Linked DNA regions of Astyanax mexicanus. The protein of the gene in region 1 purifies or fractionates together with the protein of each later gene. This does not show direct contact. Links are inferred from orthologs where the notes say so. Each region holds a gene or a part of one and is shown in the gene's direction. Other genes may lie near its edges. The genes, in order: ddx39b, srrt, myosin-9 and rbm15.

Region 1 (7,663 bases):
GTACTCATGAAGGTTTTTGCACTGTAGCTGTACTCTGAGCTTCATCTTTAGAGACAGAGGGATCCACTGCAAAGGATGTACATAAAACACAGAGCTGGAATTAACAGCAGCGTTAGATAAGTTACTTCCCTGCAGAGTTACTTTAGGTTACTTTCATCCCTGCATTAAAATCACAGCGTTGTAATGATAAGGAGAACCAGACTGTTCTAATAAAAAACAATCAACTGGCTGAATTAAAACTTCTGAACTTACAGCCTTAAACGAACTATAGCGATTATAACTCAAAAATGTTTGCTAACCAGTTATCTAACAGGAGAGACTCCTGAACTCCAGCAGACAATAATATCACTGACAATATTACTGATTCACTAGGTGCTTTAATTCGCACTCCGGGCGCGTGCAAGAGCCTTAAATCTTATTTAATTCATGTTTTAGTGGGTCTCACCTTATAGAAAGACGTTAAAAGACAGAGTAAACAGTCCAGAGCTGAACATTAGCATGCTGCTATTGTGCTGCTGCTGTACAGAAAGCCATGTTGGCGTGATCACGTGACGCACACGAACCGGACTCTTCTGATTGGCTGATTCACAGCTGAACCGGCCATGACCAAAAGAGCATTATCTTAATTTCTATAAATGTTATTATTTCCAAATAACGATTTAAAAATTTTAAAATCCTACATATAAGTATTACATTTATTTTGCACTTTATGTTTCCCTAAAGCCAACAGTTCTACGCTTCTTTTTATGAACATTTGTTCTTTCTTTCTAAATTCATAACTATATACATTCGGCTCTAGAAAAAACGATAAGAGGTGACTTCAGTTTCTGAATCAGTTTTTTCTATTTATAGGTATATGTTTGAGTAAAATGAACACTGTTGTTTTATTCTACAGACAACATTCCTTCCAAATTCCAAAATAAAATATGACAATTATTAAAGCATTTATTTGCAGAAAATGAAAAATGGCTGAAATAACAGAAAAGAGCTTTCAGACCTCAATAATGCATAGAAAACAAGTTCATATTCATAAGGTTTTAAGAGTTCAGAAATCAATATTTGGTGGATTAACCTTGTTTTTTAATCACAGTTTTCATGCATCTTGGCATGTTCTCTACTACCAGTCTTACACACAGCTTTTGGATAACCAAAATTCAATCAGTTCAGACCGCCTAAGTGGTCTATTATTTGTTTCCAGAGCTGCATTTTTATGTATATACGTTTTTACTATGCGTTTTGGGACTGGTATGTGTAAGCAAGTTAGGTTCCAGTTGACTGCCCTTTACTGAACTCGTTTAAAAAGGAGTCATGTATGAAACACTCTATGAATGTGTATGAATGAAAAAAACTGTATGAATTTGAAAAGGTAAGGCTTAGCTGATGTAGCCAGAAAATACAATAACTATAAATGAAAAGAAAAACACAATACTTTCGAAATATACTAAAAACAAAAAGAACACAACAGCCCATCTCACATTTGCCAAAAAACATCTTGATTATCCCCATCACAGCAACCTTAAAGTGTAGTTAATTAAGGATTCTGCTGCTTTCTTTGATATTTAACTTGCCCTCATACTTATTCTAACTTAAAATCAAAACACTGAACACAAGACTGCTATTACTACAAATGTCTACTGCAGATATAGACAGAAATAACAAGGTAAAAAGAAAGACATATGCTTGTGCTTCTCACATTTTTTATATTACATTTTTTATTCATTTCTTTTTGATACAAAACATTTTGAATGTACAGCAAAAATGTCCAAGTCCTTGTGGCGTCTTTTTCCATTACATCTTGTGCAGACACAATATTGGATTCACGTTGTTGATCAATGATCAAATACAAGTCGGACAACACCAAACATCTCATGAATCTTCCTTCTCTTGGTGCCTGTAATGTAAACATTGAAATAAAAAAGAAATTAGCTTCTGTAGATTTCTGTGATTTCTTATAGATTGTGGCAGAAAAACTGTATGTTGTCTTGTTCATGTAAGTGGAATGACAAATTGAAACTTAAACACAGATGTTCTTGCCTCTCTCATTTTCACTCTGCCTTGATTTGTGGAAAAAGAATCAATATAAACCTTACTCTGTTCAGAGCACCCCTGCACCTCAGAGAAATCAATGCATTTAGCAGTATGAGTTATTAATGGAGTCACTCTGACATTACCTGCAGTGAATACACGTGAAAAACACCGTTTGGCCTTCATCTGCTGATCTCATTTGCCTTGTGTGGTATACCATTCCTTCTTTATTGCAGCGTGAACACCTTCTGTCCACCTGGTGAAGAATTTGCATAGAAGAAGATAACAATTATAAATGCTCACATTCCCTAATGTTTTTTGTCCACTGTTCACTCTTTAAACAACTGTTGCAGGGCAAAGATTATTTAACAAAATTTTTTAGTGTTAAATTTAGGCAACTTACCACAGGGCCTTTTAGTTCAGAATCCTCCTCACTCTCCACAGTAGTAGAACTCTGCACCAACGGATTAAATACTACAGATGACTTGATAACCTGCCCAGCAAAACCTGAGGAGAAAAAAAAGTTGACTTAAACATTGTCCTGGCTGTAGGTAAAAATCCCCCTGTATATTTCTCAGATTGTCTACTTAATTACAAACTCCTTCCTTGTCCATTCTTTCTCCAAACACGCTATGAGGGTACACCTACCACATAACTCTGAGCAGACGTTAATTGGATCTGGATGGTGATGACATGTTCAAATTAATGCCACTGCTAGGTAGTAGCTCTGCCACTACAAAATAACAAGAACAGTCCATCAACAGATGGGCTATGGTCTTTTATTGTACACCAGCAAGGTGGAACGTCAAATCAGCTTGATCAAAAATCCAGTTGCAGACCAGCTTTTACTGGTGTCTGGCTTTAGATGATCTATGCTGATATTTGATGATCAAAATTGTTGACAAGCCAGTTATCTAGTCAAAAACATACTGGTAAGGTTGGCCAGGTTGATCATGTTTGTTGACCAGCTGAAACATCAAACAAAACATACTATATGCTGATCAACAAGCTGATTTAAGCTGGCCATGCTGGCCGGTTTCCCCCAACATGAAGGTTTTTCTAATAGTGGCCACTAAGTATATCTAAATATCTTTAGGCCAAAATGAAATCTCACCACTGGCAGGAATGTCGAATGAGCACCGAGGACATGTAATGGTATTCTGAATTCCAGGGACTGGTAGAATATTACCACATTCAGGACAGAAGTTTATATCTCCTTGGAAGCAAGACATGGTCCTACATCAAGAGTGGAAATAAATGCACATCATCAAACATTAAATTAAAATACTAATTTGTAAAGTTATACATGACAATCCTACTTCATGATAATTATTAATATGTTCACATCAGCATTACTAAAACAAATACACACAAACTTATGTACCAGTAAGTAACTTTACATAAAACCATATTTAACTAATTAGCTGTAAACACACATTTGTGACTATAACACTATATACATTTCTACATTCTGTATATACATTTTATCCACTTACAATTACTTTGAGCATATGCGATGAGGCATAACAGGATATTAATTCATGCATTATTGTGACTATATGTTTTCTTGAACCATAAACACTATAACGTTACAATTACTTGCTATAGTAAACTCCGGAAGTATACAGACATAAGGAAAAATGGTTAAAATCTGTCTATGGTACACCTCCAGCGAAGTCCAACTGAGATAGGTCAGTGTATGTTTAAAAACAGTTCTGTTTACACTAGTTAAACATTTAAAAAATGGATTTTTACTTTCTGGAACTGGACTAACGTTACCCACCTCTGTGTAACTATAGTTTACATAGGATCTCCAGTGGATTTTGTGTTTTACAGAAACTCTGAGACTAGAGTAACAACACATGTTTCTCCCTCCCACTCCTCCACCGGACTAAAGCCGCTAAATACTAAAACAACAGATTTTTTTATTTTTTTTATTCATACTGAAGACCACAACCAGAAATAAAATAAAATAAATGAAAAAACGATGGCATGAAACCTTTAATATAGCAAACTATATGACAACTGTATGCAACAGCTGGATTTTTTTTTACGTGGAAGGAAAGTTCCAGTTAAATTTTAATAACTTGTATTATCATTGGTTTATTGTAAAAAGAAAAGAAGAAAAAGAAAAAAAGAATGAAAATGTAGATAATAAAACAATTTTAAAACACACAAGTGATCCAAATGTGTGACTTATGCTAACTAAAGTAATTAATCCAAGTTGAGAAGAAAAGAAGTTAGCACCCATGCTAACCACGACAAGACGAAAACTTCAGTTCCACCTTAAAAGACTCAGCAGTTATAGTCTCGTGCCTCAACGGCTGCCCGTGTAAATACAGCACGATTTAAGGTGGAACGAATATTTCGCTTAAGAAGCCAACTTTAGCTATCAACTACACCTAAACACGTGTTTACCAACACAACTAAACCCGACATTCTGCGGTTTCCACCCACTTAACTTACCGTCTAAACAAGCTCTTAAATCCAGTAGTGTCGCTAAAGCCGAGCTGGAAAGCGGAGGAGTTGAGCGACAGATCCCTGAGAGCAGAAGCCGGCCTGCGGAGCTGAGCTCAGGCGGAGCGGAGGACAGCTCTAGCTGCTGGTGGGAGGGAGGCCCTTCGTCTCAGAGCAAATGACGTGCAGGGGAGCAGCAGCAGCGAGCAGGTGAAATAAAAACACACCGCGGAGTGTCTCACAGTTAATCCAGGTAAATGAGGGTTTATATCTGATAAAATGCGGTTAAACACATGCAGCGCTGGCTGTGTTGTTCTGTGCACCAGTCTGTAGTGCAGCAGCGCGTGTGAGCTGCTCTGTAAACACATGCTGCTGCAGATATATACACAGCAGCCCTGTGCAGCTGATATACTGAAACCTGCAAACTTCATCCATTCATTACAATCATTTTTATAATTAATATGGTCATATCCGTCAGCTGTGGGTATTATATTTAATGTTGCCCATCAAGGCTGTGCAGTATTGATTATATATGTATTGATTATATTTTCATATAAAATTGCTATGGTACAATATTATTACTGCTTTTTTAAATAGCAAAACACGTTGGTTGTTGCCATATGTGCCTAATGCCTTCTCCCGTATACGAGCTACAGGTGCAGGTGATACAAAACCCTTTTTTCTGCAGTAAAATAACTTAATTACATTCTGAAAATTTGAGGGCTTTAAAGTCTCATACAGGACACTTGGAGAAGCTATAAAAAAATAATATTAACTAATTTATATTCAGTTTCAGATGTTTTTTTATATTTTTATGTAAAAATTTTATATTTTTTTTTATTTGGTTTGGGATTGTGACTAGTGATGACATTAGCAATTGAGATTTTACCAAATATTTACTAAATCTAATTTACAGATAATTAATCATATGATCTTCTTTTTTATCTTTCTAAATAGTAGGGACGAAGCGATGTGAAAATTCTGGGCCGATGTCTATATCCGATATACACATTTATAATAAAAAATTCTGGAATACAATAAATATGTAAGTAAGTATTGGTTTAAAATAATAGCCATATTTCCATATCATTGCTGAATATTCTAAAAAAATAATAGTATTGGCCGATATCATTGTGCATCACTTAGGGGTGGGCAATATGTCTATAAAATAATATCACGATATTTCAGGGTAGTTTTGCGGTAACTATATACTTGGCGATGTAGGAAAACTAAAATAATTAATTAATTTCAGGAATATAGTATAAGAGTATAACAGCATAATCATAATGTGGCAAAATAAATAATATAGCATAAAATAATATAATGCAGCAAAAATATTGCAGAATATTTAGTGCATGCATATAAACTGCAAACTAAAACAATTATACAATAAATACACCTAAAGCTTCACAGTAAATAATAGACTACTTTTAAGACAGAACAGCCCTATTATCACGATATGGATTTTTTAATATCACGATATTTCTGTGTCACGATATATTGTATACGATATAATATTGCCCACCCCTAGCATCCCTACTAAATAGTTAATACAGGTTAAACAGAACCTTAGTATCTTAGCATACAATACAGAGTCTCTAAAATGTCAATACTTTACTGTAAAAGCTACAAATTGATGGCAAAATAGCTTTTAAGGAATATGTGCATATTAGGCTTGTCTTAAACTGTAATAAAGAATATGATATCTGCAAATATTGATCCTTTAATTAAGTAAATATCAACACATTTAAATGCCTAATCATAATACAATTCGAGAAATACTCATTTTGTGTATCATAAAATAATATTTATATTTAACAATTTGAACACAGTTATGTTGATACTTACAGAATAATGTTTCTTTACAAAATCTTCTTATTGCTTGGGCAATATAATATTGTATGACTTCCCTTCATGTTTAGATTTTGCAGTGCAGATGTTTACTTACATCAGTTTTACTGTTCGTGCCTTTTTGAGCAGCTATATATCAGTATCCTAATATAGTATCAGTCAGTATTTTATCAGAGCATAAGCGCAGCAATTTGATTCTGATACATCAGCTCACAGGTGCCTTGTGCTGATCAAGTCAAGTCAAGTCAAGTCAAGGCTTTTATTGTCATTACATCTGAGTACAGGTACACAGTTTAATAAAATTACGTTCCTCCGGAACCATGGTGCAACATAGAACAACAAGCAATAGACAACATAAAGTGCAGGAGTGACGACAGATAAAATTATAACACTAAATAATAATAAATACAATAAATACAAAAGACGAGACAATTTAAAGACAGGACAGTGCAGTACCGATACGGTATAATAGAGTGTTTAGTGAGGATAAGGTGCAGAGATGTGTAACATACTGTAACATATAGAACATATATAATCACAGCAGTTACTGAGGTAGATAGTTTATAGTTTTTTAGAGTGCAGCAAATATTGCTGAAAGGAATAAAGTCATGTCAGTCTCTGTGATCAGGGGAAAAGAGCGCCATCTACCCACCTAGAGAGTGCAAAGCCAGTTGTGCTCTCTCGGGGCTCTGGCAGCAGATGGCAAGCTGCATGTCCTGGATTCAAACCAGCAATCTCCTGATCATAGTTGCAGCACTTAGCTTGCTGTACCACTCAGCTCCCGAATCAACATTTACATATGTTGAAACAATGTTGATTGCCAGAATTTATTTATGTGTAAACTTTGATTCAAACATTGATTCAAAATTATGATTTTATATTTATTGTTTGTATTAAACTTGACTTAAATTAAATATGTATATTATGTTTGTATTCTATTCATATATCCGTATACCGTTCTTTGCTCTCAGGGTAATGATCTACAGGCTAAATGTTTAATTAGTGTTTTCCCCTTTTTCAGAATGACTGAGAACGACGTGGAGAACGAGCTGTTAGACTATGAGGAGGATGAAGTAGATGCAGCAGGTGGCGTCGGGGATGGAACGCTTGCCGGTGACAGTGGTGCCATGACCATAAGAAAGGAGGGGGTCAAAGGCTCTTATGTGTCCATCCACTCCTCAGGGTTCAGGGACTTTCTTCTGAAGCCTGAGCTTCTGAGGGCCATAGTGGACTGTGGCTTTGAGCATCCGTCTGAAGGTGAGCAGAATGAAGGAAATCTTTAGCCAAAGTGAGAAGAGTAGAATTCCACCTGCTGTGCAAATTCAAGTCC
Region 2 (7,625 bases), on another chromosome or scaffold:
TGGTTAGCTTCTGCATTTTTACCCCCTATTTATTCTTAATATGGAAAAAAGAGACCACAATAACACTTAAATTTAAATTTTCAAAAATTCTGCAATGCCCAAATCACACAGATGGTCTCTCACAGGTAATATGAACAGGGATAACAGTATATCTGTAATTAGTGAAGGATACAGGTCTCCTCGTACACCTGGATGGTTGCCATGTCTCCCTCCAGACGGATGATCTCCCCCACCAGCTCACTGTGCCCCACCCTCACCAGCTCGTACATCGCAGCTCCCGCCATGCTGGAGGCCGTCACCACTGCGGCGTAAACACGTATCAGAACATATTCTTACCCAACACAGTGACTAGTGCTGGGAGGTATGATCAAAAAATTATATCACAGTAAAACACTCAATGTTTATGCATTTAAAAAAAGAGACATTTATCAAAAGCTCTACTGCACTCCAGCGGTCTAAAGCGCTGCCACTATGAGCGGGAGGTCGCAGGTTCGAACCCCCACTCATGCAGCTTTACCATCAAGCTGCCGGCGCTCAGAGGGAGCACAATTGGCCCAGTTTCTCTCTGGGTGGGTACAGTACAGTAGATGGCGCTCTCTCTTTCCCCTCATCACTCCTAGGGTGATGTGGATCAGCACAAGGCTGCGTCTGTGAGCTGATGTATCAGAACCGAGTCACTGCACCGCTTTCCTCCGAGCGTTAGCGCTGTGATGCTACTTGGAAATGCTACAGCATCAGCAGCAGCTCAAAAAGAGGCGGAGTCTGACTTCACATGTATCGGAGGAGGTGTGTGCTAGTCTTCTTAACCCTCCTGGTGTGTTGGAGCATCACTAGTGATAGGGGGAGGAGTCCTAATGAGTGGGTTGGGTAATTGGCCGTGTAAATGGGAAAAATGGGAAAAATTAGAAATAAATTTATACTGCACACAATTAATTAATACATTCAGTTCAATGTGCATTAAAATGATCCTTCCATCTACATTATTAATATTTAAACAGGCCTGTAGTTACTGCTCTTGAAGTTTATTTTCATCTCTTATCCAGAGTTTTAGGGAGTTTTATCTCTTGTACTAAATAAATGATTCTGTACCCAGATCCGATTCTGGGCTCATCTGGGGGACAAGAGGAAATTTCTCAGAGCTGTGGACTGATTGCGCAATTCTATTCCTCCTTTTTCTGAGTGAATAATTGCTGTTTGCTGTTGTTTTTCTATTTTTCTCAGATAAAAACACTCATGCAGTGAGGAACAGCAGCAGGAGCTCTTCAGATAAAGTGCTGTTCTCATTTCTCTCCAGGCTAGACAGAGCGAGACGAGTGTTTGACTCCACAGGGATGAGCTACCATCACTCCAGTGCGTTAGCTTGTTATGCTAACTGGCTAGCGTTAGCTAGTGAGCCGTGTCAGTGTGCTTCTTTGGTGGTTCTATTCTGCACAGCACTCTGCAGCACCTCTAGTGGTATGGCAGTATGTGAAAAAGCATACCGGTTTTAATTTCCCCTCCAGTATATCAAATAAAACGATATACCGCCCAGCACTAATTGTGACCACAATAGAACAGAACAGAGACTCACCGGGTCCGGAGACGCCGTGAACAAAGCCGAACTGTCCCTCCCGATCTTCATCCCGAATTTTGGGAAGCTTGGAGAAATCCATCCTGAGTGAGAGTGTGTCTGAGTGACGAAAAAAGAGAGAATATAGTTATAAAATAAATAAAATGTGCTTTAAATACCGTATTTTATCCAAGCAAAGTTCGTTTTTCCCGTCTAGCAGCTCCTGAGTGGCGTAACTGTCTAAGCGCAGACTCTGTTGTGTGCTGTGTTTCTTCCCAAACTGCAGCTCAACACGCTTGGAGGAGAACACTACACAACTGCTAACCCTGATACCTCAGCTAGCTTAGCAGACGACGATCATAGCATCACATGATTGGAGGGGTGAACAAATAATTTAAAGATAAAATTCATTAAAATAAATAAATAAATAAATAACGTATATTTGCTTGTATTTTATTATTAGAATAGTATATAGTAACATATCTACTTATAACACTGCTTTGTGATTATGTTTATTTTACACAAAAATACTAAATAAATAGCATTTTATACTACACTGCTGTATAAAATTATACAACGACGTATCTATTGTAAATTGATCTATACATCAGTACATATTATTTAGTAAATAGTAATTTTTTTAAATTCATTTTTCTATTTAGATTCTTATTATACTAGTTGATTATTATTCATTTGTCCTTTTTAGCATTTTTCTTTATTTTAAATTTGATAAATTCTTAACTTTTTATGTGTTATTTTTTATGGTTATTATTATTATTATTATTATTATTATTATTATTATTATTATTATTATTTTATTTTATTTATTGTTATATATGTCTTGAATTTGTTATAAACTGTAAATGCTAGGCTGCACTGTAAATAAGGGTCACCCTCAATGTTCTCCTGAGTTTAAATAAAGGTTGGTTTCTATAATTGAATTCAGCACAGTCTCTCTAAATACCTCACTTGGGCGTTAACTCTAATTATAGACTCTACTTATAGACTACTGTAACACACATAATATATCTTAAATTAATTGTAATATTCTTTTTTTATATTCTAATACTTTTCTGTAATCTATTAATTTTCTGTTTCTTTTAATATTCTATTAGAAATAATTTTAATGGTGCAGCAGCTTTTAGTGTATTTTTAGTTTATTTAGTATATTTATGTCCACTTAATTTACATAGTGTATTTCTGTATATTAAGAAAGAAATACATATATTTAAAATATAGAGATAGCTATTTTAATGTATATTGATTATAATTAGTTAAAGTATAAGTAGTACTTTTTTTTGCATTAGTAGCAGTATTTATAGCATTTTTTTAGCAATGTATACTAAGTGTATTTCTATATATTTAATATATTGCTGTATATTGAATGCATGTGTCTTTGTGGCTATGTGTTAGTAATATATATGTAGGTTTGTACATATTAGTTTATTGTTGTATTTTAAGCAGCAGTGTGTGTGTTTTAATGGATTTAGTACATTTAGAGCGGTATATTGTGTATATTTTGTATATTTCTGTGTATTTAAGATTTATTTTTAACATTTCTAATAAATGCACAGATGCATGACATCCTTAATTAAATGATACATGAACTATAAAGTAAAATAAAAGCCTAAAATCGAATTAAATCCTAAATTAAGCTGAAATAAGCTTGTTTTTCGAATTAGCCGTTCCACCTTAAATGTTGCTGCAGTTGCATTCTGGCGCCTCGGGCGCCAGAATGCAACTGCAGCAACATTTAAGGTGGAACGGCTAATTCGAAAAACAAGCGAGTAAATTAGAGCAGTTAAAAGCTAAAATCAATTAAAAACGAGCTTAAAACGAGAAATATCAACTAAAAAACACAATTACATGAATAAATCGATATAAAACAGTAAAATAAGGCTGAAATCGAGCTTGTCTTACCGTTTTACTATGAGAACAGAGCAGAAGCAGAGCTGAACAGTCACGACACTGATCAGCTGACTGGACCTGGATTAACCCCTTTAAACCCCTTTAACCCTTTACTGACCACATCCCTCCTATATATTACATTTATTATTACATATAACACACAAATCAGAGCATATTTATACAGATTCTCACTTATATTCTTATTAAATTAAGGGAATATTTATGATATATTTCCTTAAATTTTCTTACAGTGTAATTAATAGGCAGAATTGTTTTATTTGTATATTTATTTACAAGATATATGCTCATTATAAAACTTATATCAATCAGTATTACTATATGTTTTATTACTATGAATCTTACTATGCTTTCGTTCGAAAAATATTTAATTTTTGCAAAGGTCTTTTTTTTTAAATGTATTTATTTATTTAGCTATTGTTTTAATTATTTATTTACTTATTGATTTATTTATTTGTCTAGTCATTTCTTTATTAATGTATTATTTTTCTATCATCTACTCATTTCTATTTTTATTAATTTATTGATTTATTTATTTATTTGTCTATTCATTTCGTTCTTTCTTTCTTTCTTTATTTGTCTATTTCTTTCTTTTTCTTCTTTCAATTCATTTCTACCTTTATTTGTTTATTGATTTATGTATTTGCCTATTCATTTATTTCAATTTCTTTATTTTTCTACCTTCTATCCCTTTCTATCTTTTTTTTTACTTATTGATTTATTTTTTTATGTATTTATTTAATTGTCTATTTATAAGCAATGCATTAATTATCTGCGTTTGGATCTTTTATTTATTTTAGGCCAGTTTTTGGCTAAAAATATTGTTTTACTTAAGATACAGCTTTTACTTTTAATATGTGAAAGAGTGCATAATTTATACACTTTATTTATATTCAGCCTTTGGGATAAATATTTTATTTAGTTATTTACATGTTTTGGTTTTAGACATAAAAATCCTTTTTGTGCATCCCTATTATGAACGTACTTACCTATTTTGTAGATTGATTGATTGATTGATTGATTGATTATATATTACCTAAATTAAACTAAATTTACCATAATTTACTTTATAAGTATATACAGACTTTGATTCTGAAGTGTTGTGTTTGGGCTGCGCTTTGCTCTTCTGGCCGGAGGGGGCGCTGCTGCGTGATATCAGTGCAACATCCGGGAGCCTGCTTCGTCCGTTCTGCAGCGAGACCGCGGCGGGTGGCGGGATTTTACCGAGTAGTTACCGGTACCGCGGCTTTTCTTGCCTTTGTCTCTGTTTATTTACTGTTTTTATACCTTTTACACCCATATTCTAGTTTGTGTAAGGTTCTGTATGTGGAAAGCAGCGTAATAGAAACGTATTTTGGGCTAATCTGTTCCTTTACTTTTGTTCTGTAGTCTCGAGAGTGAAGCTAGCGAGCTAGCCAGCCTATAGCTGGGCCGTGCTCCAATAAGCGCACTCGCGCCCTTAACTGTACACTTATTTATTTATCTGTTTAGTGGGTGTTTGGGAGTAGTTTAGTCTGATTTAAAGTGTTTTGATTCTTTACTGACAGATTCATTGTTTAGTGTGTTTATGGAGAAAGCTTAAGTTTACTCCTATGGGAGAGAAAACACACTTAGGTAGGGTGCCTGAGTAGGGTGCGTAGTTAAGCGTACTTGTTTTTTGAGATATCTAGCTACATATTTAAGGAACAGTTACGTATGTAGCTCATTTGTCAGTAAAATTAGTTAAATAAGTGATATATTTAATAAATGGTACGTTCATATCTGTGTAATATCTCAAACAAACGTTCAAATATAGGTAAGCATGTTAGCTAGTCTACTGCTCGTATTGGAACACAGACAGGCTTGTATAATAAGCTAAGCTAACGTTACTTGCTCTAGCTAGGCTAGCTAGCTAAGATAACCATAGAGTGTATGTCGTTTTATCTGAATATTTGAGTTAAATACTTTTTTTGAAGCCTAAATTGCTTTAATATATAAAATTATTCTACACGTTTGGAGCAGAACTAGCGTTAGCTAGGTTAGCTTGCTAACTGGTAAGTTAGCTATGCTAGCTAGCAGTGCTAATCGCTTCAGATATCCTTTATTAAATCTTGTTTATTGTGTTAAGTTTTTATATACAGCTATTTAAACATGTAAATTGTACCATAGTGCACAATTGTGAAGTTTATCACCTTTAAAACAGGCTCATTGAATTTTCCTTTCCACCTTAAATCTGCAACAGTTTCATACTGCAACCAATGCCCCCGTTACAGTGCAAACAATGGGGAAATTTAAGGTGGAACGGAAAACTTTCTTATTTAGTGCCAAGGTGTGAAAACACAGCTTTTACAATATGTACCAATGGAGGGTTTAGCTTTAATATTGCAATATTTTGTTTCACGTTGTGCTGTGTGAATTGGAGTTATTTTTGTTTTCCTTTAAATATTAAATTGTTCTTCTAAACCTTTGGACCAGAGGTATTGTAGTTTACTGTCTAGCCAGTTCGCAATGCTATTTTCACTTACTTAAATGTTATATAGTTATTTAACTTAGTAAATTGTGCTATAGTTTGCCAATGTTAAGTTTATTACTGAATGTTCTGTTCCACCTTAAATTATGCTGTTGCGTGCACTGTAAACGTGACATTGGTTGCAGTACAGTGTAACTGTAGTAGATTTAAGGTGGAACAGTCAATTAAAAAAATACTTATTCAATGCTCAGTCTTGATAAATGTTTGTGTGTGTATATGCGTAATGTATGGGGTTTAGTCACATTATTAAAAGTGGATTTTTTTTTTCCAGCTTATAATACTAGACCCCCTTGAGGATCACTTTTAGAGATCTGTATTCCACATTCTGTATTGAAGTTGATGTTATTTCTTGTATATTTTCTTTATTAGTGAGATCTGAGACTGGTTGGTGATTGGGCGTGATGGCAGACAGTGATGATGAGTACGATCGCCGCCGCAGGGATAAATTCCGCAGGGAAAGGAGCGATTATGACCGTTCCAGAGAGAGGGAGGACCGGCGGAGAGACGACTGGAGTGACCGGTGAGCAGCTGGGAATTTAATATAACTTAGTACAAGAACTTAATAACCGTTTATAACAGGGGTTCCCCAACCCGAGTTCTTGTGTTTCTCACGTTTTAGTGTGTTCCTAACACATTACTGTTACTTGGAAACCTTCAAAGTATAAACATTCATGGTTTTAACACATTGGTGCTAAAAAGGAAAAAACTCTGGTCTCATATTTCACTGATAATTAGGGCTGTGTATTGGCAACAACCTGGTGATATGAGATTTTAGTTTTTCGCTTGTTTTAGGAAAACTGTCTAAAGCCCTGTCTGGACGGAATTAGTTTCTCAGGGGGACACCTGTGAAAAATATTTCACTGTTCTACTCAGTGATAAAACTCCTGCATCCGGACTGCAATTGTAAAAACAGGATGACCAGGGGGTTTTTAGGCTTTTTTCTCAGTCACATGACCTCACGTTCAGTAGCTCCTCCATTTCCACACACTGTTGTTTTTAATGTGGATCTCCTTGGAAACGCACGTCCAAAGTGTAATTACGGTGCGCAGCAGTGGACAAATATCTATTTTATTAAAGGTGAGACGAAACGAAGATGTGCGTCCAGAGGGGACTAAAATTACTGGAGGAGCACGAAAAAGAGTTCAGAGGACGTCTGTGAAAAACACGAACATGATCGTTCTGGACGGAAATAAAATTACCGAGGATAAAAAAAAAAACATAAAAGAGAAAATTACCCAGAACCTCCTGAGAAAATAATCCAGTCCAAATAGGCCTATAGTACAAAAAAACAAACCACGTTGATTTAATCTAAGAGAAAAAGTTTACTTTGAAAAGAATCAGAGCAGTGGTTTTTCAGTTAGCCTTTATGACATGTCCTGTAACATTCAGCACCATTTTAACAGAAAATAAGTTACGTATATCACGTATATTAAAAAGTGCTTGCAGGATTATTTATGTGTGTTTTGTGTGTTTGTGGTTTGCAGGCGCCCGTCGGCGAGAGAGTGGGACCGGGGCCGAGAGAGACGTAGCCGGGGGGAGTACCGGGATTACGAGAGGGGCAGGAGGGAGAGATTCTCCCCACCCAGACACGACATGAGCCCCCAGCAGAAACGCATGAGGAGAGACTGGTACACATTAAAT
Region 3 (7,595 bases), about 19 Mb from region 1:
ATAATTTTACTCCATCTGACAGTTTAGAGTATGTGGATGTCTTAGCACTTTTGCTAAAAGAGCTGTCGCTCTGTGTGACTGACTGGAGATGTGGAAGTTGTGTCTGCGTGACCGGCAGGGTCACAACTCTTCATCCGAAGCTCAAGGATGTTTGTGAAAGTCTGGCGTCAACATAGCCCCCCCCTTTACCCGAGAGAGAAAGAGAGAGGGAGAGATAGAGAGAGTAACAGAGACACTCTTACATATATAAAAAGGAATGTTTAAATAAACAACTCAAAATATGACTGAAAAAAAATACTTAAAAATCTGGCAATAACAAACAGTGATAAAATATAAACATTGACATTGAAAAAAACGTCCCAGCTTTTCATTAAAACAATTTCTGGTAGAAAATGTTACTTTTTTTCTATTTCTGGTTGAAAGTGAAAGGTGAAAAGATGTAAAATGAGGTCTATATGAGACCAACACAAGATAGCACATAATTAGAATAGAGTAGAGTAGAGTAGAACAAAAATGATATATGGTTTTCAAAGATTTTAATAAAAATAATACAAATCTGTAAAAAAGTGTGATGTGCAAAAGTATTTAGCCTTCTTTACTCTAAATCCCCTAAATAAAATCCAGTGCAATCAACTGCCTTAAGAAATCACATAATTAGTTAACAGAGTCCAGCTGTGTGTAATTTAGTCTCAGTATAAATGTTCTCTTCTGTGGTTTGTTGGAGAACACTAGTGAACAAACAGCATCATGAAGACCAAATAACTCACCAGACAGGTCAGAGATAAATTTGTGGAGAAGTTGTCTCAAGCTTAGAGCATCCCAAAAAGCACTGTACAATCCATCATCCAGAAAAAAAGTATTATATACCTGCAAACCTACCAAGACATGACAGTCCATCTAAACTGACAGATCGAGCAAGGAGAGCACTGGTCAGAGAAGCAGCCAAGAGGCCCAAGGTCACTCTGAAAGAGCTGCAGAAATCCACAGCTCAGGTGGGAGAATCTGTATACAGGACAACTATAAGTTGTGCACTCCACAAACCTGCCGTTTATGGATAAGTGTCACAAACAAAACCAATGTTGAAAGAAAGACGTGATAAGAAGTGTCGCTTGCAGTTTGCCACAAGCCATGGAAGATACACAGCAAACATGTGGAAGAAGACGCTGTGGTCAGATGAGACCAGTGCTGGTAACTTTTTGGCCTAAATGCAAAGGGCTTTGTGTGGTAAAAAAGTAACACAGCTCATCACCCTGAACACACCATCCCCACTGTGAAGCATGGTGGTGGCAGCATCATGCTGTGTGGATGTTTTTTTCAGCAGGGACAGGGAAGTTGGTCAAAATTAATGGGAAGATGGATGGAGCCAAATACAGGACAATCCTGGAAGAAAACCTGTTGGAGGCTGCAAAAAACTTGAGACTGGGAAGGAGATTCAGCTTCCAGCAAGACAATGAGCCTAAACATACAGCCAGAGCTACAGTGGAATGATTAAAATCAAAGAATATTCATGTGTTAGAAAGGCCCAGTCAAAGTTCTGACCAAAATCCCATCCAGCATCTGTCGCAAGACATGAAAATTGCTGTTCACAGATGCTCTCCATCCAACCTGGCTGAGCTTTAGCTTTTTTGCAAAGAAAAATTGGCAAACATCTCAGTATCTACATGTACAAAGTTCATTGAGACATACCCAAAAATACCTACAGCTGAAATTGCAGTGAAATGTGGCTCTACTAAGTGTTGGTATACTGAAAGGGTTAATAGGCTGATTACTTTTGCACATCTCTGTTTCAGATTTTATTTGATAAAAAAATCGGAAATCATTATAATTTTAGTTCTTTTTATTATATCACTTAAAATATCAATAAATTACATTTAAGTTTGTGGTTTGTGGCAAAATGTGAAAAACATTTAAGTAACATGAAAATTTGTAGTATTTACTAAAAGCTCTGACATTCTAGCATTTTTGTTTTATTTTAGTGCTATATAAAAGGTTTTTCACAAGTTCTTTAGCAAAGTCAACATCTCAATGAATCATTTACACATCTGACCTATAGTTAAACTGCTATTCAAATTCAGAAGTACTTAAACTTTCTTGTAGATATTTTTTTAAATACTTTTTTAACACAAACTGATTACTGTGTTGTTTTTAATATGTAGTTTTTAGGACATCCTGGGTTCAGATGTTTCTTTAAAGTAAAGTAAACCAACCCTTTAACCCATTAAGCTACGATGGTTCTCAATGAAACCCTTGTCTTTAATAAGAACCTTCAAAAATCCCATAATCACACAGTAAGCGTGTCTACCTGTAATTAATTCTATATACCGTTAAAATGAACACAACTAAACCCTAACAAAGTCAGTAGTCAGAAAATGCTTTTAAGCTACTTTTAAAATCTGTTACAGACTATAGTAAAGCAGTGAAGCAGGCTGGGAGCAGAACCAACACAATACAAGGAAATTAAAGACAGGACATTATGTAATTAATGCATTAATACGAAGGAGTAAAGTGGAATAAACATGGATTACTCATAGGCTCATGCTGTAAAGCTCAGAAAATGCTCAGAAAAGTGCAAATGTGTGTAATTGTGTTTAATTATAGTTTGAGTTAAGTGAATAGAACTAGTTAGGTTTATTGCAGGTCTCATCCTCTCAGCCTTTAATTCAATCCCAACAACAGCTCATTTTAGACTCAAGGAGATAGAAAGAGAAAGAGGAGCAGAATAGAAGGAATAAGATGAGGAGATTAAAGGCTAGAAAAATGATGTAAATTCAGTCCAGGAGATCCAGAGTCTGGGCAGGCAGCAGAACTAGATTCCAGTTCCTCACCCAGAGATTAATGCCTGTTTTGTATTTCATTTTTAGATGAATATGAGCTCAGGTATGTGGAATATTCCATTCATCATCACACAGGGACTTCACAATACTGCAGGAGGAACAAAAAACACAGACTGCAGGAACACAACAACCTAATTAAATCTGGACACTGTGCCCCACCAACCAACAGAGCAAATACAAAATGTGCTCAAGTACACAACAAGTTTCAAAACATCCCTATTGTTTTATTTGATCATCTTAACAATGTCTTTATTACTGCATGTTACCTGCCACCTCTAATTCTTCTCTCCACTGCTAAAACTGAGACTTTTTAGATTTACAGTGTTAATCTGAGCTAAAGATGTTGCCATGTGGGTCAGCCTGTAGCAGTTTTCTCCAGTTTCCAAGAGTCTTTTGAAGATGTCGGAAATCACTCTCTGGCTTTATCTAAAGAATAAAATTATAGTTACAAAATTTCCACAGTCTTATTATCATCATCAACTAATTATCATCAGTTAGATTAAATCTGATTTGCCAGCAAACCAATTGTGGTATACTCCAAAATCTTTAGCTAACTGTTTATTTAAACTATTTGTATGTTTAAGTGAAACATTTTTATCTCCATAATCTAACTTCTGAGGTAAACAAAATGCTACATAAGTATAGAAAATTAATGACACAAAATGAATGTCAAAAAAATGTGCACAAAATTCTGAACTCAACAAATGCTTATATATAAAATAGTGTTGTCAGTGTTAACCTGGTAACACACACACACACACACACACACACACACACACACACACACACACACACACACACACACACACACACACACACACACACACACAATTAATCTAGAAAGCGCTTTAATTTTATTTTACCAAATATCTGCAGTAACTTTTTCCAGAGCCTGGTGATGCATTAGCCATTTTTAGCAATATTTAGTGATGTAAAGATACATTTAAACAAACATATTTGAATACAAATAAAACCATTTAGATGACCTTGACATTGATTCTTTTTAATTACATTTAAATATCTATTACTAAAAGTTTAAGTGTTACAAAAATATTTTTTTTATCGTTTGACAAACCGATGTTTTTTTCCAGGATTCTACACAAAACTTCACTTTTAAAAGTAAGTGTTTAAATGTTTTAAATGGTAAAGATGAATGAGTGTGATAAACCTGTCTACAATAGTGGGGGCCTGAACTGAGGCCTATTCATAATCTAGCGCACAAAAAAGGGAGAGAAACAGGGAAAGGGGGGGGGGGGTGGACTGCATTGGTAATTCCTGGCATTCCTCCGTGTTTTGTGGGAGTGTGTGTGCGGAGCTGCAGACAGTGACACACCGGGGTCGAGGGGCTGCTGGTGGGTCCGTCCCGCGCAGCCCGGCTACTTATATGGTCATAAAAGTCCTCGGCTGCTCAGACCGTCCCGTTAAACTCTAAACTCCGGGAGAGGCAGGCCCCGCCCCCACTCCTCCGCCCCGCCCCCTTCCCGCTCTCTCATACTTTAGCTCCGGTTCGTTTTCGCACTTTTGGGCTTCTGATTGGCCGAAGCCGCCTGAACGCTACGCGCTGACTGGCAGAGAAGTGAGGAAGTGGGCGTGGCGTACAAACCGCGCCGGCCCCGCCCTCTCTGGACCGCACCCCGAGCCAGTAGGCGAAACAGTGCAAGTGGAAGAGAGGGAGGGAGAAGAGAGAGCAGAAAAAAATAGTAAAAGAGTGAGAGAGAGAGAGAGAGAGAGAGAGAGAGAGAGAGAGAGAGAGAGAGAGAGAGAGAGAGAGAGAGAGCAAAAGAGACGAAAGAGGAGAGAGCGCGCTAGCCTGAAGAGAGGTTGCAGCGGACAGGCGGTTTTTGCAAAGCTGCTACGACCAGGATAAGCACCGGTTCTTGTTAAGTCAACCTTAAAGCAGCTGGAATAAGCAGGTAAGTTGTTTTTATAGTTTTTACAAGGCGTATTTTCCACCCATCTGCTCTAAAGAGCAAAGTGCACTGAAGCAGGAAGGACGAGCCAGGCTCAAAGTTGGCTTTCAAGTCTAACTCTGCGGTCCACCTTAAATGGGACAGACGTTCCATTGCTCCGGCCACTGAGGCGCCAGAACGTAACTGTAAAGTGCCATGGAACTGCTTCACTATTTAAGGTGGAATGGGAAAAGTGAACGAGATGCTAACTTCAGCTTCAACGTTGAAGGGCGAGGGGAGTAAAGCTTGGCCGGGAGGGACTCTAAACGAGATCGCAACACAGTTTCATCTCCACGCGCACTTTCTTTTACGAGTTTAAGCAGTTCTAAACTTCGCTGCTGCTGCAGGTAGACTTGTTCGAGGGGAAAAAACAAAGCGGTGAAGTTACAGGAAGCGACGACCTGCTCGCATGAATGAGTTGCATAAAAATGGAGGGAGAGAGGGGAGAGGGAGGGAGGGAGCAGCCGGAGCCCGTTACCGGGCCGGGACTCCCCCCGCCAGATCCGGGAGCGCGTTAGCGGGGCGGGGTGGGTTTTACTCTGGGTGTAAATCACCGGCGCGGCTCCACGCGAGACACTCGCTCTCGGATGGTTCATCGTGTTACACGCGGTGACGTCATCGCCCGATTCCGGTGTTCTGTGGAGTTGTGCTACCCTGTCAAACCGTGCTACCCTAGTGTTTAATGTTTAACTGTAAAAATAAAAAATATTAGAACATGCTGCATGCAGTAGAAGTGTCGGTATAATCATATCTGAATAGCCTAGATCGCTGTATCAGGATAAAGTTAAAGCAACATAGGTTAAACAGGTTAAAACAAGGCAACATGACTGAAAACATTTTTATTTATTTTTATTATTATATTTGTTAGTTTTTTTACACGGTTGTAACATTCAGGCAAACGATGACTGTGAGTCCAGATTGTACAATGCACCTGGGGGGAAAAAACTGAAAACTAAATTACCAGGAACTAGAGGTGGGTAACACAGGTCCAGCAAGTAGAAATCTAACTCAGGGTTTTGTACCAGCTGCCTGGAATTTTACTTTCTGGACCTGGGCTACCCACCTCTAGGAAAGAACACATGAAAACAGTAAAGATGAGATTTTTGCGCATGCGCAGAGCCGCTAAGTATCACATATCGACGGGTAGCACAACTCGATAGAACACCTGGCTCCCTGTGTCAGTGACGTAGCGCAGCTAACCCGCGGATCGATACTCCCGATCAGTTTTTGTAGCTTATACATCAGAGAGAATGCATCATTCAATATAAGAAAGAACGAGTAACACTTTTAGCTATATGTACACATATTAACCTTGTCTGTAAGTCTCTCTCCTTTGTTCCATTGCAACATTACTAAACCCCTCAGTTTGAATACCTCTGGATTAACTTTTAATAGGTGCTTTAACCAGTTTGGGGAAAGTTTAGCTGAACTTTCTGGAATGAGTGTGTGTAATAAGTGTTTTAGAAAAGCCATTCAAAAATAAATGTGCACACAAACACACTTATGTGTGGGTTTTGTTATGTAAGCAAAAATGAGAGTTTTACAGGCTAAGAAAAGTATGGTAAATTCTGACATTCAACTCTCTATTCATGTCAAATGCAGAATGTCAACTAAATACTGGTTTAGATGTAAAATTATTATCACAATAAAGACATTTCACCATACGCAGAATATTTCCATCCATATTTTACAGCAAGATTTCAAAACCTGTTCCATATTTGGAACATTGAAAACTGGTTGCCTTTCCATCTAACAGAACTGGGAATTATTTGCATTCCATTTAATCTCGAATTTCCAATAGAATCCAATATGGCAACCTCACACATCAGCAGTTGTAAAGCAATATTATTATAGAGTTTATCACTTCTATCTATAAGTGTTTCATTAAATCCATCCAACACACAGTTCTGTACTACTTCTATCTGCACATGATTACATGCTGTTTGGATGTGCAAAATAATTCCTTCATTATCAGTTGGTTTCACAAACAATTCTAACAAGGGATAAGGCTATCCAGGACAAGGGATAATCCAGGACATAAAAAGTGGGAAAAGTATTGGTTAGATTTACCATAAAACACCGTAAAAACACTTGTGATTTATATTTTGACCTGGAATAGTGTATGACATAATACCTAGCTGCACCATCCAACATGTAAGCTAAATGGAATGCAGCATAATTACTTAATTGTGCTCTTTGAAGAATGAAATGTGCAGGTTTCACCCAGTGAAACCAATCAGATCTGTAAATTAATGATCATGGAAGATCAGAGATTGCTAGGTAGTTAGGTTATATGGTAGCTACTTTTTCAACAAAAAACATATTTGACACAAAACAGTCACAATTTGAAACATAATTTTCAGATTTGCTTAAAAATGTAAATTTGGTTAAATATGAATACAGAAAGATTCCATTTAGGTAGATCAGTTAATATTGTAAATATTAACACATACAGTGTAGATCGCACTCGCTATAATATAATGTTGGCTCAGGTAATATAGGCAACACACAGAGTGTGTTCTTTTTCTCATTCTGCTCAAATTTCGTGGTAAAATAGTTAAAGATTAAATATTGTCACTATTAAACTGATAATTTGCCTCAGTCAGTTGTATATATGTATTTTTTAAGAGCATGTATTAAGCTGACTTTGGGACTCAAAACAATAGCGATACTAAATCATTATTATTTAAACTTCTTTTAGCTAACTATTTTGTAGATGCTTTATTATTATGCATATTCATATAAAATTATCTATATTCACTGGATAATAAATGTAACCTTGTTTAAGATCGTATGATAGTAGTAGAACAGT
Region 4 (7,866 bases), on another chromosome or scaffold:
ATTAATGTCTGACCATATTGTGACCATATTTTTTCTGCAGAGCTGTTCGAGTGTTTGAGCAGTGTCTGAAGGGGAAGTGTCACACTGTAAGACTGTTGTTGTAAATCAAAAGGACTGCAGAAAGGAACCCGTACAACCAAAAATGTAATTAAATTAAAGCAAAGCAACATGGGTCCTCACCAGCACTGAAGAAGTGAAGAAGCTGTAATGCAGCATTTAAAATACAGATCAGTTTCTGAATCAGTTTCAGAGTCTGAATCAGTGTTGTTTTATTTTATAAACTACAGACTTCCAAATTCCAAATAAAAATATTGTCATTTAGAGCATTTATTTGCAGAAAATGAGAAACAACTGAAATAACAAAAATGATGCAGAGCTTTCAGACCTCAAATAATGCAAAGAAAACAAGTTCATATTTATATATAAGTTTTAAGAGTTCAGAAATCAATATTTGGTGGAATAACCCTGGTTTTTAATCACAGTTTCCATCTTGGCATGTTCTCCTCCACCAGTCTTACACACTGCTTTTGGATAACTTTATGCCTTTACACTCCTGCTGCAAGGATTCAAGCAGTTCAGTTGGGTTTGATGGCTTGTGATCATCCATCTTCCTCCTGATTATATTACAGAGGTTTTTAATTTGGTAAAATCAAAGAAACCCATAATTTTTTGGTGGTCTCTTATTTTTTTCAAGAGCTGTATATCTGCATCATTGATTAACATTGTACTATTAGGTACTACATCATATATAATCCACAGGTAGAGCATTTAGGAGCATTTAACCAAACATTTTATTGTGTTTTCTCATCTGTAGAAAAAAACTGTAGAACACAGCATCCCATCACATTTTCTCTGATGGAAAGAAAACCATTTGGGACACTATCTAGTAAGTGTGCCATAGAGTGCACTAGAAGAGCAGGAGGGCACCCATAGATATGCATTCATTAAACACAAACACTCACTTCCTCTGGTTTTAAATTACATTCTCTAAGAATCTGTCAGAAAGGAAGTGGTTCAACTCTAATACAAGAGGTTTAGTTTATCTGAAGTAAACCACTGCGGAAAAACAAATCAAGCCGTCTGGAGGCCTGGACCACTTGCTTTCAGTCCTGTTTCTGGGAGACCAGACTTTTAGAAAAAATGACAGTAAACTCAACTGTACCTTTAGAGGTCCACCACTTGGCATGGGGTGGTACCATCAACTTAACTTAAATCAACTAAACCCAACTATAACCTAACCAATCCCAGCTAAACCCATAAACTAAAACCTTTAAACTACTTTCTGTTGGCTTAGGAAACATTCTTATAGAAAATTTTACTTAAGGTGCAGATAAAAACAACTTTTTTCCAGTCCCAAAAGAACCAAAAGAAATGACCCAGCTATCAAACATACTCCTTTTATTTAAGCTAAACTGCTGATAAGGCACAGTTTAAAATTTGATATATTAGCCAGATAATGCTAATTACCACAGCTAGGAACAAATGCTGTCTCTGCTGCTGCTCCGTGCTGTTTACACGCACTGTGTGTGCTGTGTTCACTGCTCGCAGCTGCACAACTCTGTTTACTGTACATCTGCACTGCATATCAAAAACGCTGTGTTTGAAAGCACTGCGCCAAATCTTCAGCATCCTGTGTTAAAGCAGCTTCACACTGCACAGATATCTGCACTGAAACACAGAATCTTCTCGATATATTTTGTTTTTATTTCTCCCACACCAGACAGCTCTGACCAATCAGAGGACACAATGTGCCCACGTGGTTTATTGGTGCGTATTTTGGTGAGTTTAGGTTTATGCCTGTGTGAAACCAAACCCAACAGAGGGAGAAAACGCTCCAAGTAAATGAACTCATCAAATGATCCGGATCATAGAAACCAAATACACACGTAGATTTTAGTTAAGTTAAAAATCTTCTTTATTAAGATATTGTGATTGAATTTGTCCTCTACACAAAAGTCCAACTAAATGGTAAAGGGTTCAGTATAGTATAAAAATATCTAAAAATAATAAAATACGATACAATACAATAAGAATAAAAAATGTTAATCAGTGAATTAAATACATTATGCATGATACTGTCATGCCCAAAGAGGAGTAGTATTGTAGATTTTATAAAACCTTGTGTCGGGCATTAAATCCAAAAATACTGTATTAGGATTCATAAATTATATAAAATAATGTTTTGAATTGGTTTTGGTTTATAAATGAATAAAATATCATTGCTATGTACAATGAACTTTTTAAGGGGAGCTAAAAATGCTCTTAAACCTGACATCTAGCTAGCTACCAGTAGACATGGCAAAAGTAATGGCACCCAATACTACAGGTGGTTCCTGACACATGATACAGTCATGGGCGTGGTAGTGGGGGGAAAAGTGGACCTGACTACCCAGGGCCCGAGTAGGGAGAGGGGCCCATGAAAATCCTGATTTTTTTTCGCTCACTTTCCTTTGTTTACTGGCATGGATAGGGGCCCATTAACATAGAGGGTGTACAGGGCCCAGAATTTGCTGCTACGCCCCTGGATACAGTATGTGACATGTTAATGCATTGTAGTGTATTGTATGTGTGGAAATAAACACATTAGAATCAGGGTGGTTCAGTGCATTGTTTTTATTCATTATATAAAACAAACATTCCAGCAGCATCCAGACCAGCTAAATACAGCTACAGGGGTGGTAGAACATCCACAGCAGATGTGACAAGGCCTGAAGCGTGCTGGTGCTGTGTGAGACAGCTCCATCTGCATCTAATGACCGCATGCCAGTTCTGTCAGACACTTTTTTTAGGACAAGCTGCCTAATTTAGATAACATCTGAGATGTAGCTCTTTAGCTCTTTTCCAGGCTGAGAAACAGAGCTAAACAGCTGCAGTTACAACCTGTTCAAAGCCACTGTCATCTTACCCCACTCTCCAAACGCACAGCGGTGGAGGATTGTTTTAGGGCGAGTATTTGTTACCACGTCTTTCCACCGAATCTTCAGCATGACAGCAGAGCAGAACCACATTAAGTGCCAGTCTAGCACACCATGTCGTGTTTTTAAGAGAGCTGACATGTGTTTCCAATAGAGCCGAGAGAGAGCGAGGCTGTCAGAAACACTCTCCACACCCACAGCTTTGAATTCCAGCCCGGCCCGTCGAGACAGCACGGCCTGATACAGCCACAAAGGCAAACTGATTAGGGCCCAGATTACGTGAATGAGATAAGCAGATAAAGGAAAAGAAAATAATAAGAATCACTGATCAGAAAAGCAGTGCAGTGGAGTCAAGTTTACTGAATGTTTCTGGAAGTTTTTAGAGCATTTTATTTAACGATTTTAAACATTCTGGTAACATTGCTAGAACATCATTGTGTGTTTTCTCCCATTTTTCTCCCAATTTAACTAAACCAATGATCCCACCCATTCAGCTGCTGCTATATCCCCCATCACAGGTGATGCCACACAACATAAAATCAAAAACCTGCAGCAAAGCTTACAAGAAATGTGTTTACATTTTACATATTGCTCATTTAATAAATACCTATACCTAATAAATAATTCTGGGTTCAATCAAATTAGGTCATTTTACAGTTCAGTTGCAAGGAAATAATAAAGTAATATTGACTCAATTTACATCTTTATCATATAAAATGTCATCTCACATATCCAAGTATATTTTGATTAAATTCTCTAGCATTTTGTGAGATATATAAACTATAAAAAATAGCCACATAGTGGTTCATTTTCTTCTTTTTTTTGCCTAATTATTTGTAGCCAACACAGAATACATTTTATTATTATTAAAGTATTATTATTATTAATATTTATTTAAAATTTATTTAAAAACGTATTTACTGGTCTAGAGCTGTATACAGAATACAGGCGGCGACATCTACTGAACATAAAATGAACTGCTATTAAATGCTGCATTGCCTCTAGCAGAGGTCAAATATTTTAAATAAACCAAAATAAACCGTTTTTACACATCTTGCTGCACAATTTAAGCCTTCGTATCATTATATATAAACTTTATTATAGATCAAATGCGTGAAAATTCCTTTTAAACGTTAAAAAAAGGCTGAAAGTTGAATTATTTAAACGTCCTTTCTGAGGGCTCATTTCCGCATGCCACGAGGGCTAGGCGAGAGCTGGGCCAAAGAAACTATAGAGAGGAGATCAGTCATTTTAGCACGTCTTCTGGCTTTGTTCAACCAGCAGAGGGCGCTTCTGAGTGAGCTCAAAATGAATGGGTTCTTATGGAGCAATGGATCAAAATAGGATATTATAAATGTCTGATCATTTTTTAATGGGAAACAAATTCTCATTTCCTCTAAACAAAACTATATAAAATGTTTTAACAGCGCAGAAACAGTGTAAACTGCAGTTATACAGCTTTTAAACGTGTTCTCTGACTGTATCTCCAACATCAGCTCAGTGATCTCACAAACAATAGCAGCAATGCTAGCGTTTTTACTGAGTGAAACATGCTTGCTGTGGACAAATCGAAACATAAATATATGTTTGTTTTACGTTTTTAGCGAAATACGTGAATATATTTTCTGAAATTAAATTAAAATGTTGAAGAAGTAGTTGGACAATGTTTTAATTTGTGTTTTTAGCCGTTTAGCCCCACTCAGTCCCATTCATTTAAGACTCCCTCGCGGGCTCCCTCTATCGGTTGCTCTAGAGTAACGCTACTGACACATCCGTCAGAGATTTGAAGTGGGCAGGCACGCTATAATCCAGTTTTAGCTGGGCGTTGTTCTGAGTTTGTGATTGACGTGAGTTTCAGCCAATAGAAACAAGCGCTCGCAGACATTCCAACCAATCATATTGCTCGGGCGAGGTACGCCCGCCCGACTCGCCTGAGTTAGCGTTAGCTAGGTTTGCTAGTGTGTGTTGAAGCTGTGGAGACAAGATGGCGAATGCAGTTGTTTTGCTGCGGGAATGATTCAGGGCGGATTTTCGTAGTTTTTTCGTTTAAATCTGCGTAACTAGGGTGTAGTTTATACAAGTTGTGAGTGTTTATTAGGCCAGGCGCAGGTTTAAAGTGCTCGACATGAAAGGGAAAGAGCGTTCCCCCGTGAAAAAGCGATCGAGGGCGCTGGATGATCTGCGAGACCGCGGAGGGAGCCACCCGAGCAGTAAGAAAATGGGGGTGATTTCCATGTCCGGAGGGAGCAACAACGGCAACAGTTCCTCCAAAAGCGAGGGAGGTTCAGCGAGAAGGAGCCTTCTAGGCGATAAAAGAGACAGTAGGGACTTTGACGGACATGTTTCCAGCCGCGCCGGGAACAGCTACACCAGCCCCAACTCGAAGAACCACAACTCGGGCCTGTCGCTGGAGGCAGTCGCCGCCGCCGCTGCTAGGGGCAACTCGCGGGCCGAGCCGCGGACTCCGCTCCCCGCCAACGACAGTGAGTACAAAACGCTGAAAATCAGCGAGCTAGGCTCACAATTAAGCGACGAGGAGATCGAGGACGGGCTTTTCCACGAATTCAAGAAATTCGGCGACGTAAGCGTGAAGATTAGCCGCGTAAACGACGAGAGAATCGCGTTTGTGAACTTTAGGAGGCCTGACGACGCCCGGGCCGCCAAGCACGCCCGCGGCCGCCTAGTGCTGTACGACCGCCCTCTGAAAATCGAGGCCGTGTACATGAACCGGAGGAGAAGCCGCAGCCCGGTGGACAAGGACCATTTCCCAGCAGTGGCTGGCCACAGACATTTACACACCCAGAGGCCTCTCTCCCCTACTGGGCTCGGCTACAGAGACTACAGGTTACAGCAGCTCGCTCTGGGCCGCCTTCCTCCACCCCCTCCCCCTCCTCTACCCAGAGAGCTGGAGAGAGAGAGGGAGTTTGCCTTCTATGAAGCAAGAGCCGCCAGGCCTGCCTACATCGCTGAGAGGGCTGCTGCTGCTGCCGCTGCCTTCAGAGAAGAGGACTTCATCTCTCCAGAGGACGACCAAAGAGCCAACAGAACTTTATTCCTGGGTAACTTGGACATTACAGTCACAGAAAGCGATTTGAGGAGGGCGTTTGATCGTTTTGGGACCATTACAGAGGTGGACATCAAGAGACCTACGCGTGGCCAGAACAGCACATATGGCTTTCTCAAGTTTGAGAATTTGGACATGGCCCACAGAGCTAAGATCAGCATGTCTGGAAAGGTGGTGGGCAGAAACGCCATAAAAATCGGCTATGGCAAGGCCACGCCAACCACACGCCTTTGGGTGGGTGGCCTAGGGCTTTGGGTTCCTCTAGCTGCTTTAGCGAGGGAGTTTGATCGCTTTGGCACCATTAGGACTATAGACTACAGAAAAGGTGACACGTGGGCGTACATCCAGTATGAAAGCTTGGATGCAGCTCAGGCAGCCTGCACTCACATGCGTGGATTTCCTCTGGGAGGTCCAGACAGAAGGCTGAGGGTGGACTTTGCAGACACTGAGCACAGATACCAGCAGCAGTTCTTGCAGCCGCTTCCTCTGCCACACTATGACCTCGTGGCGGAGTCTTTCGTCCACCGTGCCACTCCTGAAGCAATCAGGGTCAGAGAAAGGACTCCACCACCACTGCACTTTAGAGAACGGGAGCTGTATGCTGGGGCTGAGTGGCCAGCCCCTGCTATTCGTGAAAGAGTAAGGACTCCTGCTTTCGAACCTCTAGAGCACTTGGAGAGAGAACGCCGTCCAAGAGAGCCCTGGTCCCTGGAGCGTGAGCTGCCTGGCAGGGATGCTGCTCGCAAACGGCGCCTACTAGAGGATGGGCGCCACCTGGAATGCTCACCTGACAGCAGCAGCGAGTGGGCGGCACGACGCAGGAGACCACCTTCTCTGGAGGGCAGCCCTGGAGGCAGCAGCCGTGATGGGCGTTTAAGTGACTCAGAGCGTCCGCTTCGAGCAGAGCGGCCGTCCCCAGCCAGAGAACGCCGCAGCAGCCTGGACAGAGGACCTGCAGAAAAGCGCCTCAAGAGCAGCAGCAGCCTGTCAGAGTCCGGCATCGGAACAAGCCCATCTGAGAGAAAGCGCAAAGCAGGAGAAGCAAGCAAAGGCCCCTCTAAAAGAGACAGAGCTGAGGGCAGCTCCAAAGGCAGCCAGTCATCTAAGCAAGATTCAGGAGGAAAGCTGAGCATGGCCTGGAACGGCATGCTCCTCCTGAAAAACAGCAACTTTCCAGCCAGCATGCACATCCTGGATGGTGACCTCAGCGTGGCCAGCAGTCTCCTCGTCGACGGCAGCACCGGAGGCAAGGTCACCCAGCTCCGCATCACCCAGCGCCTTCGCCTCGACCAGCCCAAGATGGATGAGGTGTCTCGCCGCATCAAAGTCGCAGGCCCGGGCGGGTATGCGGTTCTCCTGGCAGTTCCTGGCAGCTCCGAGGACACGACGTCGTCATCCTCCTCCTCAGCAGATCCAGCAGCATCGACGCAGCGTCCCCTGCGAAACCTGGTCTCCTACCTGAAGCAAAAGCAGGCAGCCGGGGTCATCAGCCTACCTGTCGGGGGCAGTCGCGATAAGGACAACACGGGGGTACTGCATGCCTTTCCGCCCTGTGATTTCTCTCAGCAGTTCTTAGATTCCTCTGCGAAAGCTCTTGCCAAAACAGAAGAGGACTACCTGGTCATGATTATCGTCCGCGGAGCATCTTAACAATCAGAACACACCAAAAAAATGCATTGTAAAAAAAAAAAAAGAAAAAAAAAATGTGTCTCAATTGTGCATGCTCTGTTAAGCCTGGTGCAGCAAATTCTAGTTTAAATGGGTTAAAGTGGGTTTGTGTCATCTGTTCTGCCAAATGCAATGCATGGGGATAAAACATGCCACACTCAGATAGCTGAATTGGTTTCCTTATCGCAATATTTGCTTATCATTACAAGTTATGAGTCT

The links.
Region 2: the proteins of ddx39b (region 1) and srrt purify together in Homo sapiens (affinity purification with mass spectrometry; 3 studies listed by BioGRID and IntAct, with this or other methods). This does not show direct contact. The link is inferred for Astyanax mexicanus from reciprocal best matches to the Homo sapiens genes DDX39B and SRRT.
Region 3: the proteins of ddx39b (region 1) and myosin-9 purify together in Homo sapiens (affinity purification with mass spectrometry, with the first as the bait; 4 studies listed by BioGRID). This does not show direct contact. The link is inferred for Astyanax mexicanus from reciprocal best matches to the Homo sapiens genes DDX39B and MYH9.
Region 4: the proteins of ddx39b (region 1) and rbm15 purify together in Homo sapiens (affinity purification with mass spectrometry; 3 studies listed by BioGRID and IntAct, with this or other methods). This does not show direct contact. The link is inferred for Astyanax mexicanus from reciprocal best matches to the Homo sapiens genes DDX39B and RBM15.

Annotation. Positions count from the first base shown.
Region 1 is NC_064410.1:37,555,423-37,563,085, forward strand, and holds the start of ddx39b (DEAD (Asp-Glu-Ala-Asp) box polypeptide 39B), read left to right. Parts: upstream 1-4,645; 5' UTR 4,646-4,735; intron 4,736-7,354; 5' UTR 7,355-7,355; coding exon 7,356-7,590; intron 7,591-7,663. Other genes in the region: gtf2h4 (general transcription factor IIH subunit 4), read right to left, coding at 1-45; polr1h (DNA-directed RNA polymerase I subunit RPA12), read right to left, coding at 1,867-1,891, 2,172-2,281, 2,429-2,532, 3,140-3,257. UniProt on the Homo sapiens protein: Involved in nuclear export of spliced and unspliced mRNA. Component of the TREX complex which is thought to couple mRNA transcription, processing and nuclear export, and specifically associates with spliced mRNA and not with unspliced pre-mRNA.
Region 2 is NC_064408.1:1,332,117-1,339,741, reverse strand, and holds the start of srrt (serrate RNA effector molecule homolog), read left to right. Parts: upstream 1-4,605; 5' UTR 4,606-4,712; intron 4,713-6,353; 5' UTR 6,354-6,385; coding exon 6,386-6,504; intron 6,505-7,468; coding exon 7,469-7,612; intron 7,613-7,625. UniProt on the Homo sapiens protein: Acts as a mediator between the cap-binding complex (CBC) and the primary microRNAs (miRNAs) processing machinery during cell proliferation.
Region 3 is NC_064410.1:18,744,882-18,752,476, forward strand, and holds the start of myosin-9, read left to right. Parts: upstream 1-4,590; 5' UTR 4,591-4,747; intron 4,748-7,595. UniProt on the Homo sapiens protein: Cellular myosin that appears to play a role in cytokinesis, cell shape, and specialized functions such as secretion and capping. Required for cortical actin clearance prior to oocyte exocytosis. Promotes cell motility in conjunction with S100A4.
Region 4 is NC_064419.1:41,296,609-41,304,474, reverse strand, and holds the start of rbm15 (RNA-binding protein 15), read left to right. Parts: upstream 1-4,858; 5' UTR 4,859-5,040; coding exon 5,041-7,629; 3' UTR 7,630-7,866. UniProt on the Homo sapiens protein: RNA-binding protein that acts as a key regulator of N6-methyladenosine (m6A) methylation of RNAs, thereby regulating different processes, such as hematopoietic cell homeostasis, alternative splicing of mRNAs and X chromosome inactivation mediated by Xist RNA.